Macaca mulatta: one gene and its partner. The protein of the gene in region 2 binds, or shares a complex with, the protein of the main gene of each other region. Links are inferred from orthologs where the notes say so. Each region holds a gene or a part of one and is shown on either strand. Other genes may lie near its edges. The genes, in order: PIGY and PIGA.

What was found.
Region 1: PIGA (region 2) and PIGY share a complex: the UniProt entries of both Homo sapiens proteins name them as parts of the glycosylphosphatidylinositol-N-acetylglucosaminyltransferase (GPI-GnT) complex. The link is inferred for Macaca mulatta from reciprocal best matches to the Homo sapiens genes PIGA and PIGY.

What each region holds. Positions count from the first base shown.
Region 1 is NC_133410.1:97,843,131-97,847,630, forward strand, and holds PIGY (phosphatidylinositol N-acetylglucosaminyltransferase subunit Y), read right to left. Parts: upstream 2,919-4,500; 5' UTR 2,830-2,918; coding exon of another isoform or gene 2,627-2,829; intron 1,156-2,626; coding exon of another isoform or gene 1,014-1,155; 5' UTR 919-1,013; coding exon 703-918; 3' UTR 124-702; downstream 1-123. UniProt on the Homo sapiens protein: Part of the glycosylphosphatidylinositol-N-acetylglucosaminyltransferase (GPI-GnT) complex that catalyzes the transfer of N-acetylglucosamine from UDP-N-acetylglucosamine to phosphatidylinositol and participates in the first step of GPI biosynthesis.
Region 2 is NC_133426.1:14,994,372-14,998,882, forward strand, and holds the start of PIGA (phosphatidylinositol N-acetylglucosaminyltransferase subunit A), read right to left. Parts: upstream 2,802-4,511; 5' UTR 2,759-2,801; coding exon of another isoform or gene 2,746-2,758; intron 2,297-2,745; exon of another isoform or gene 2,220-2,296; intron 215-2,219; exon of another isoform or gene 1-214. UniProt on the Homo sapiens protein: Catalytic subunit of the glycosylphosphatidylinositol-N-acetylglucosaminyltransferase (GPI-GnT) complex that catalyzes the transfer of N-acetylglucosamine from UDP-N-acetylglucosamine to phosphatidylinositol and participates in the first step of GPI biosynthesis.

The DNA of each region.
Region 1 (4,500 bases), on a different chromosome or scaffold from region 2:
GATTCTATTTTAGGTATTAAGTACCTCTCTAAACACAGCTATATTTAGTGCAGTTTTACAACTTCCCTTAGTATCAATAACACTTCTGTGACCAAACAAATAAACAAAACAAATGATTACAAACTGGTTTATTTTTTATGGGAAAGTGTCAACATCTTTATTGCTAATATAAGCATTTAATGTCAAAGAAATGAAGGTAATTTTACAAACTCAATTTTTGTAAGTACATGAAATTTCTATTTCATTATATGGTTTTGTATCACATTCGTTCAAATGCATTTCTCTCCCTTACAGGGACTATTCCAACATCACTCCTTTGGAATTATTTCAGTCATCCCTAACATGTGACTTTACCAAAGACCTTGAAGCTAAACAAACAAGCAAAACAAAATTTCAATGACTTTTAGATGAATGGAATAAGAAATAGTCATCACATGTCAATTAGGGATGTTTATCTCCAACAAGACACTGTCAAAATGTTTCTTCTGATACAGCAGTTATAAGTCAGAGCCTTCAAAAAACAAGGGCAGAACAAGAGCACAATAAAAGAAGCACCTGCAACTTAAGCTTCCCACAGTCCTAAGCCTGATATGCGCAAAGCAAAGCCTCTTTCCCACAAACTCAATTCCATCCATTTGAGCTTTCAGAGATAGATGCCCAAGAACTACCATTAATGTATACAGCATATTGACTCTAGTTGCATCAATTATGCCTGAAGAGTTTAATACCCATCCAAGTCCAAAGGTGGAAGAATACATACACTGGTATGGTAATAGGCAAGAGCAGGCTGTAAAAGCAAAGGCTGGCTGTGCTAGTGCAGCCCTGTGGGAAGTTTTCTTCCACAGAGGCTGAGTAGAACAGTCCTGTTAAAGAAACCAGTGGAATAAGAACAGTCAATGTAGGAAGAGACAGAAACATTCTTCTCTTCCACTTATTACCTGCCACTGTGTTTTAAAAGGTATATGGTACTAAGAAAAGTTGGCTGTTGCGTTTTATGTTTTTTTAATTATGAACTAGCGCTGCTCCACTTCTTCCTGCTTCTTACTTTGATGCGTCATCCTAGCTGCCTGTGGTATCATATTAGGAATCCCATCAATGATTGGATAAGCTATTCCCAACTCTTCATTAATCAATTCATTTGTTGATGCTTCATATCTGGGGTGGAAAAAAAAAAGAACAAAATGAGTTGTGGAAAAATAAAATAATTGAAGAGCCTGATTTTCAACAAATACCACCATTTATCCAATTCTTGGTATGGAGTTAATCCCAGAATAGTCTTCTTTAATTAAAAGCAACGATAGCCAATTCAACCTTTTATCTTAGAAAAATTCTCTTAGAATCTATAATTATTCCCATTTTAGTCAGTTTCTCTCATATTCTCTTTTTCACCTTATTCACAAGTTATTCCTTAATTTTTTTTTCATACTAGTCAGAAAAGATCCCCCTCTCTTATCCAAATATTCCTTCATTACTTTGGTCAACCCCCAAATCATCTCTGTTAATTTACTACTGGAATAAACACTAGAGAAAAATCAACTTCTTCGTTTTAGAATAAATGCTAAGTAGAAAAACTTAACTAATCCATTAGAAGGAAATCACTGGAAAAGGTGAGAGGGCAGAAATGAGGAAACTTTGGAAAGCAGTAAGTCTGCCGTGAGCTAGTTATAAACGCAAATCAAATAATTTCAAGGTTTGAGAAAACTGAATATGTTTATTATGGGAAAAAAGAAATATGAAAAATTGCTAGTAATCTACCACTCAAAGATAACCACTGACAACGTTTTGGTGTTTCGTTTATGCGATTTGTAATACTAGCGTTAGTGTTGTCAATATTCCATTTTTGGGAGCTTGGAAACTGTAGAGCTGTCTTCCCAAAAACTAGGTTAAAGAGGCTTCTAAGAAATCTGCTAGGCCACAACTAAGAGCCACCAGGCAGCATACACAGCTGAATTGCTTAAGATTGTCAGGCACCAGTTGTACAAGACACTTTCACAAGAATCTGGAGGGTAAAATACTTTTCATTATCTTGGCTTAAAAACCGGATGGCTTTGGACTTGTCCTGAATCGCAGTAATTCAAGAACCTGCTGGTACGTTAGAAATCATTTAGGGACCATTTAAGAACACAAATAAGCTGGGCGTGGGGGCGGCGCCTGTCTCCCGACTCCTGAGGAGGCTGAGGTGGGAGTTCTAGGCCAGTCTGGGCAACGTAGGGGGGCACCCTGTCTCTTAAAAGGAAAAAAAGAAAATACAAATGTTCAGGTCCCAACCCCCGAGCATTCCAAGTCTGCCCGTCTTGGGGGCTGCAGGGGAATCGGCATTTTTAAAACGGTCCCCGGGTGATTGCAAAGAGCAGCCGGTCGCGAAGCCTAAAACGCTTCGAGCCATTCCGGCAGGCTGGCTATGTGCTCTGGGAGATGTGGGACGCGGCTCCCCTGGCCTCCGGTCTCCCCCGTTCTGCCCGCCGCAGGGGGAGGTGCATGCACCGGCGGGGACAGAGTCCAGAATATGGCAGCGGAGAGTATTCACCGACCTACAAGTCCCCAGTGGCTGAGACAGGCCGCGGTCCACCACTCCCTTTCCGCCCACCGGGAGGCTGCGAAGGAAGGGCCAAGACCAGCGAGTCACCTGAGCGGCTTCTTGGAGAGCGGGCACACCAGGAACTCCAGCAGCGCCGGATCCAAGGCGCGGGGCGGCTCCTCCGTCTCGTTGCTCCGGTCGGCCAAAGGCCGCGAGCCCGACGCGTGCAGACACCTACAGGCGACCGCGGACCGCGCTGCGCTAGTTCCCCGCAGCGCTGAGGCGAGCCTGCCGCGTGCTCCGCTCAGCATGGTCTGGCAGCCGGAGACCAGGCCTCACTGCGCCTCCGCCAGCCGGGGCCGAGCTCCTCGCTCCGCGGTAGTACAAGCCAGCCGACCAGGCCCCGCCCCCTGGTGCTCTGGGAAACGCTGCCGGTGAGTAGGCGGGGCGGGCGCTTTGGTTCCGAGGGTGCTCCTGCTCCGACTGCTTTTCCCACGGACGTCATCTGCAGGCCGTAGGACAGCCCCAGGGCTGAGGCCTCTAGTGGGTGCCCCGCCGCCTTACCAGACTACAAACTAAATCAGTGTTTAAGTCGAGGTGTCTGGGCTTTCACCGGGGCCTGTGGCAGAGATGCTAGGAAGCCAGTGGCCAGATCTCAGAGTTGTAGGGAGTTAGGCTTGGACCTACGTGGTTACCTCCAAGTGAAGTTTCAAACACACTGTCATGTATTGTATTGAATGTATTGCCATGGATGTATTGAAAGCGTTCATTTGTTTCATGTACGTCTTTACTATACCATTAGTTTCTGTAATCTTGTTTGACTTCTTTCTGTCTCATTTAAAAAAGTGAGAACCTGGAAGGAATGGTCTAGGCCTCTGACCCTCCAAAATATATAAATTCTTCCTGCCTGAGACCCAGTCATTGTGAAGTATTTGCGTAATAAAGCACAACTAATTTACTTCTATCAATGAGCTTGGAGGCCGCAAAGGGCCTAAATAACTGTGTAACAGGCAGATGTCTGTTAGTCAAATGGGTGATCCATTCAGTGAATTTGTATCCCAGGTTTGCTTCCGACTCTCCGAGGAAGTGATGCATGTTAGATCTCTTTCTTACAGTGTAGTAGATGGGAACTTGGGCTCTGGGGCCTGACAGCTTGGTTTCCTGTCCACAGTTTAGTAGCCGGATTACTTCGGCAAGTGACTTAACTGCTCATTTTACTTATCTGTATAAGATTAATAATTGTACCTACCTTGTTCTGTCAAGGTAGGGGATAAATGTGATTGTGCATTCGAAGAACATTTAGAAAAGTGCCTGGCACAAATTAGTGCTCTATTAATGTTGTCTATTTTTATTTTTATGTCATCTAGTTTTTCCATGTCCGAAGACTCAAAGTTTCTTGTTAGTCATCCATTTTTTCCCTCCGTTCTGCTGAATATCAACCTGAACTTTTTTTTGCATCTCTGGGCATTATCATTTCACACTTTGAGTTCCTGGGGCTAGAAGGAAAGAATACGAAAATATGTTTATATTTTCAAATTTCTCTCCCACTCCAATGTAAAAATAAATTGAGAAATGTTTATGCGTTCATCCTAATTTTTTGTCTATTTGTTTTTTGGGCCATCCTGTTTTTTAAAAAAAAAAGTTAATTTTTTGATGTTCTTTGTTCACTAATGCTCAGGAGATTTTCTAAGGTTAATGTAGTTTGTAGGATACCAAAAAGGAAACACTTCTACTGGATAGATATTTAAGAGATAATGAAAGTCTCCGGTTGCCACACCTTCCTTCCCCCACAAAGAAATCTTTCATAGTCGGTTATTAGAGTCACTAAGGGACTAGAGTATAGGGCAGTTATCAGGACTTACCCCCCCAGTCACTAACGGACTAGAGAATAGGGCAGTTACCAGGACTTACCCTCAAGGGAAACTACTGTAAAGTTCCTATGTTACCTTCACACTATTTCCGACTAGGGCAGTAGCAGGAAT
Region 2 (4,511 bases):
CTTGTGCACTCTTAGATATCCTAAGCCAACATGTAAGAAATCCATCTACTGTGCTAGAGGGGCAAGGGAAGAGATGACAATATGGAGAAAGAAGAGCTCTGAGACTACATGGAAAGAGCCAGAGGCCCAGTCATCCAGCCAACTTACCAGCTAAATGCAGCCTCCTAGTGACCACCGGCAAGACCAACAGAACCACCCAGCTGAGCCTAGCTCACTGCAGTATCATGAAAAATAACAAAATGGCTGTTGTTTTACATCATTAAGTCTTGGGGTGGTTCGGTAAAAAATAACAGACAACTAAAACAGGCCAGGATTCAAACTCAGTTATACGGTCCACTGCCTGTTTTTGTAAAGTTTTATAGGATCATAGGTGTGCCCATTCATTTATGTGAATGGCTACTTTTGTGCTACAAGAGCAGAGTAGTTGCAACAGAGACCATATGACCCACAGAGTTGAAAATATTTACCATCTGGTCCTCTACAAAAGTTTGCCAACCCCTGCTGTAGAGCTTAGTCACTAATTCAATTAATCTCATAAAGTTTTGCTAGTATTACCTGTGTGGTTTACACTAAAACACACCTGGAGCTCTAACTATCTTTTTGAGAGCACCTTTTTCAAATGTCACCAGAGCACATGCTGCAAACAATCCACATGTTCTCCTTCCTTATTCAAAAAGGGTGATTATTTAGGCCGGGTGTGGTGGCTCACGCCTGTAATCCTAGCACTTTGGGAGGCCGAGGTGGGTGGATCACCTGAGGTCAGGAGTTCAAGACCAGCCTGGCCAATATGACGAAACCCCATCTCTATTAAAAATACAAAAATTAGCTGGGCATGGTGGTGCCTGCCTGTGGTCCTAGCTACTCGGGAGGCTGAGGCAGGAGAATCGCTTGAACCTGGGAGGTGGAGACTGCAGTGAGCCGAGATCACACCACTGCACTCCAGCCGGGTGACAGAGCGAGACTCCGTCTCAAACAAAACAAAACAAAAACACAAAAACCAAAGAGGGTGATTATCTAACTGCTCCCTTCACTTTTTAAACTTTTCTTTCAGTTATGCAGGCCTTTCAAACTCAATGAGTGTCCCTCCCTTCAGTGTGGTGTCTAAAGATAAAGGCTAAAACTAGAGATGGGCTGTATCTGGGACCATTTTTCCATTTAAAGTGCAAAATGTTTATCTCAGGGGTCCCCTAAAGCCTTATTAATATGAAACGCCCACTCAATATTTAGTACTATTATACATTCTTAGATATCTAAAGCTAAAAAGAATCTTGGATATCTAGTCAAAATCTTCCTCAGCTTTACAAATAAGATTTCCAAGGCTCCAGAAAACACAACTATACAACGAGAAACCATCCTAAAGCTCCGAGTTTCCGGTTTCACCTGCAAACTCAGAAAATGCCAATTAACTGTATGTGCAAAGGCCTGTCTATTCTCTCCAACAAATTCATCTACTTTTTTTTTTTTGAGAGGGAGTCTCACTCTGTTGCCCAGGCTAGTGTGTAGTGGAGCAATCTCCGCTCACTGCAGCCTCTGCCTCTCGAGTTCAAGCGATTCTCCCACTTCAGCCTCCCGAGTAGCTGGAATTACAGGTGCACACCACACCAGCTAATTTTTGTATTTTTAATAGAGACGGGGTTTCATCATGTTGGCCAGGCTGGTCTCGAACCCCTGACCTCAGGTGATCCACCAGCCTCGGTCTCCCAAAGTGCTGGGATTACAGGTGTGAGCCACCGTGCCCGGCCTCATCTACATTTTAAATACACTCTCAGAAAGACTCCAGAAGTGTTTGTTGACCTGAATTTACTAATTAAGATTCAATATTACCAAATATCGAAATTCCCCAAGTTTGTACTTTTAGGTGGCTTAACTAACATTTTCTTACTGTGGTCACCTAATCCCGAACTTACAGTTCTACCAGTTTTAAAAGATGAACGATAACAAAAGCAGTGAGTAATGAACCAAATATCATTTAAAATTTTGTCCTCAGCCTGCAACGTTCTGTGAGGAGTCTGCCCACTTCCACCAGGTTTTCACTCCAAACATCTCTGACATAAAAGTTCAATATGCTGCACAATCGCAAAATCTTAGCTTTTAAAGCCGAAATGAGGCTTGGAGCTCTAGTGAATACCTCTCTCGCTTTATAAATGAGAAGCCAGACAAGTTGAGTCATTTGTCCAAGGTTCCCACCCAGCCACTTAAAGTGGCAAAGAAGACCTTACCGTAAAATTCTCGACCACGGTCAACGAGTCCCGGGCAATCATTAGCGGTAGCGGTTCCTTAAGAACCTTAGGGAGACCTGGCAAGAGTTGTGGGTCAAGAGAATGGTACTTCCACCGACAATTCCTGGGCACTGTCTGAGCTTCACTCCCTGATTCCCTGAGAGGTCGCCGGGGAAACGCTCGGGCCAAGGAGGGGATGACCCTGCTCAGACAGCGACCCCGCTGGGTTCATGGCGGGGACTGGCCAGGCCCAAAGAGAGAAGGAAAACAGCCAGAGAGTGGACGTGGGTCTCAGGCCCGGGGTTCCGAAGACCCCAGTTCCTCGACCCACCCGCCTGAGCCAAGGAACCGTCCTAAACGCACCCTCAGACCCAACCTACTCTGGAGATCCTCCGACCCAACTTCCGGGCTTCGAGCCGGGTCGGCTTCAACCCGTCCACCACCCGCCACGAGCCCACGGGCGCAGAACAGCCCCATCCAAAAGCGGGCCAGAGCGCTAGAGACGGGCGGCGAGACGCGTACTCACCGGTTAGTTCCATGGCCGCCAGTGTCCGGACCTCCCGCGGCTACAGCCTGAGTCCCTCCCTGCTGTCCCTCAGCACCAATCTAGGCGTCCGCGCCCAAGGGCCGCGCCCCCTAGGTAACCAATCACAAAGAGGCGCTGAGGTCACGTCCGAGAGCGACGCTCTGTCGTCCCCACCCTTAAGCGCGGGCTGCAACGTCAGCGCGCGCCTGCGCCCGTCTCCTAGAAGCGGCCGTCGGTAGGGTGGGTGCCCCACCCTGGTTTCCTGGTTACAGCGTCTCTATTCTGGACGCCAGTTCCCTCCCCGCTTGCTGCTGATTGGAGAGACCTTTTGTTTGTAATCAGCTGTGCCACGGCAGAACCGTGCCCGTTCTTACCGCTCTGGGACGTTTGCCAGATGTAGCAAATAAAAATACACAAAAAGTCAAAACAGATGAAACTATGAAGTTTCAATTTCAAATAAAGCACAAATGATGTTTAATACAAGCATGTACCAAATATTGGGGATTTCACTACACAATTATTCGTTTTTTATCTGACATGTAAATTTAACTAGACATCTTGTTATTTATATGGCAACTCTACACTCTGGGGGAAACATATGAGGTCTGATCCGAAATATCAACTTCCACTCGAACTGGTTCAACTAGTTATGATGGTACTTGACCAGGAAGCTAAAGAATCAGTGAGAGTGGTGTGATGGTCATCCATGCGTCACAGCTGGTACTTGGAGTCCCCCATCCCTGCCATACGTGCGTTTTCGAGAACAAATTCCTTTCTGAGCACCATCACCGCCACCATTACTGGCACCCATTTTATTAAGCTTAGTGTAAGCCTATTCATCCCTGAAAATGTCAGCTTCTTTCTGATGCTTTTCCCAAGCCTCTAGAGAATGAAATACTCTCACTTTTTAGTGTTAATAGTACTTTGGCCATGTGCTGGTATAACATTTATCAGATGATATTCAAGTTGTTTGCTGATTGCATTCTCCCTCCTCACCCTGATCCTTGATTACTTGTCTCTTGAGATCTCACATGGACTTCTTTCTGAAAACTAGAAATTGTATTTGCTTGTTAAATGTCTGCCTTCCCTGCCAGATAGTAAGCTGAGGCAGGATCTGTTCTTAGTAATGGATGTTCAGTAAGTTTTAGTTTAATACATGAATTTCTTTACCCAATGTCAGCACGCTCCCTGACACATATTAGATGCCCAATAAAATGTATTGAAAGTATTTCATGGAGTGTACCTTATACAAATTACAGTGCAATAACATCATTGAAAGAGCATTTTAGTTGTGGGATTTGAATTGAATGAATGAGTTGATGAGTAAGGCAAGAGTAGCCATAGATACTTTGCCCTGTGTTGATATTGATGAAGCATGGGAGAATTACAATGATGAAGACTCAAGGACACTTAATTAAGCTTTATAATTTGTAGTTGGTTTCACAGATAACAGCGACACTACCAGATAGGTACAGCATTGCTTTGGTCTCCTTTTCATTTTTGTAATAGGTTTTAAGACAAAGACGGGGGTAGAAATCCTGGAAGGTATAAATGAGGGTTAAGCCTCGTTTATTGAGCCCCTGGTTTGCCCCTGCCATAGTTCTGATCACAATCCACACTTGAAATTCCACCGTGAATCTTTTTTCAAAATATAACAAATATTTCTTATTTTTATCATCAAACGTTTACTGAGTGTCTGCTCTGTAAAAGGCCTTGTGGGGAATACAAGGAATATTAAGCATAGTCCCTGTGTTTCAACAGCTTTT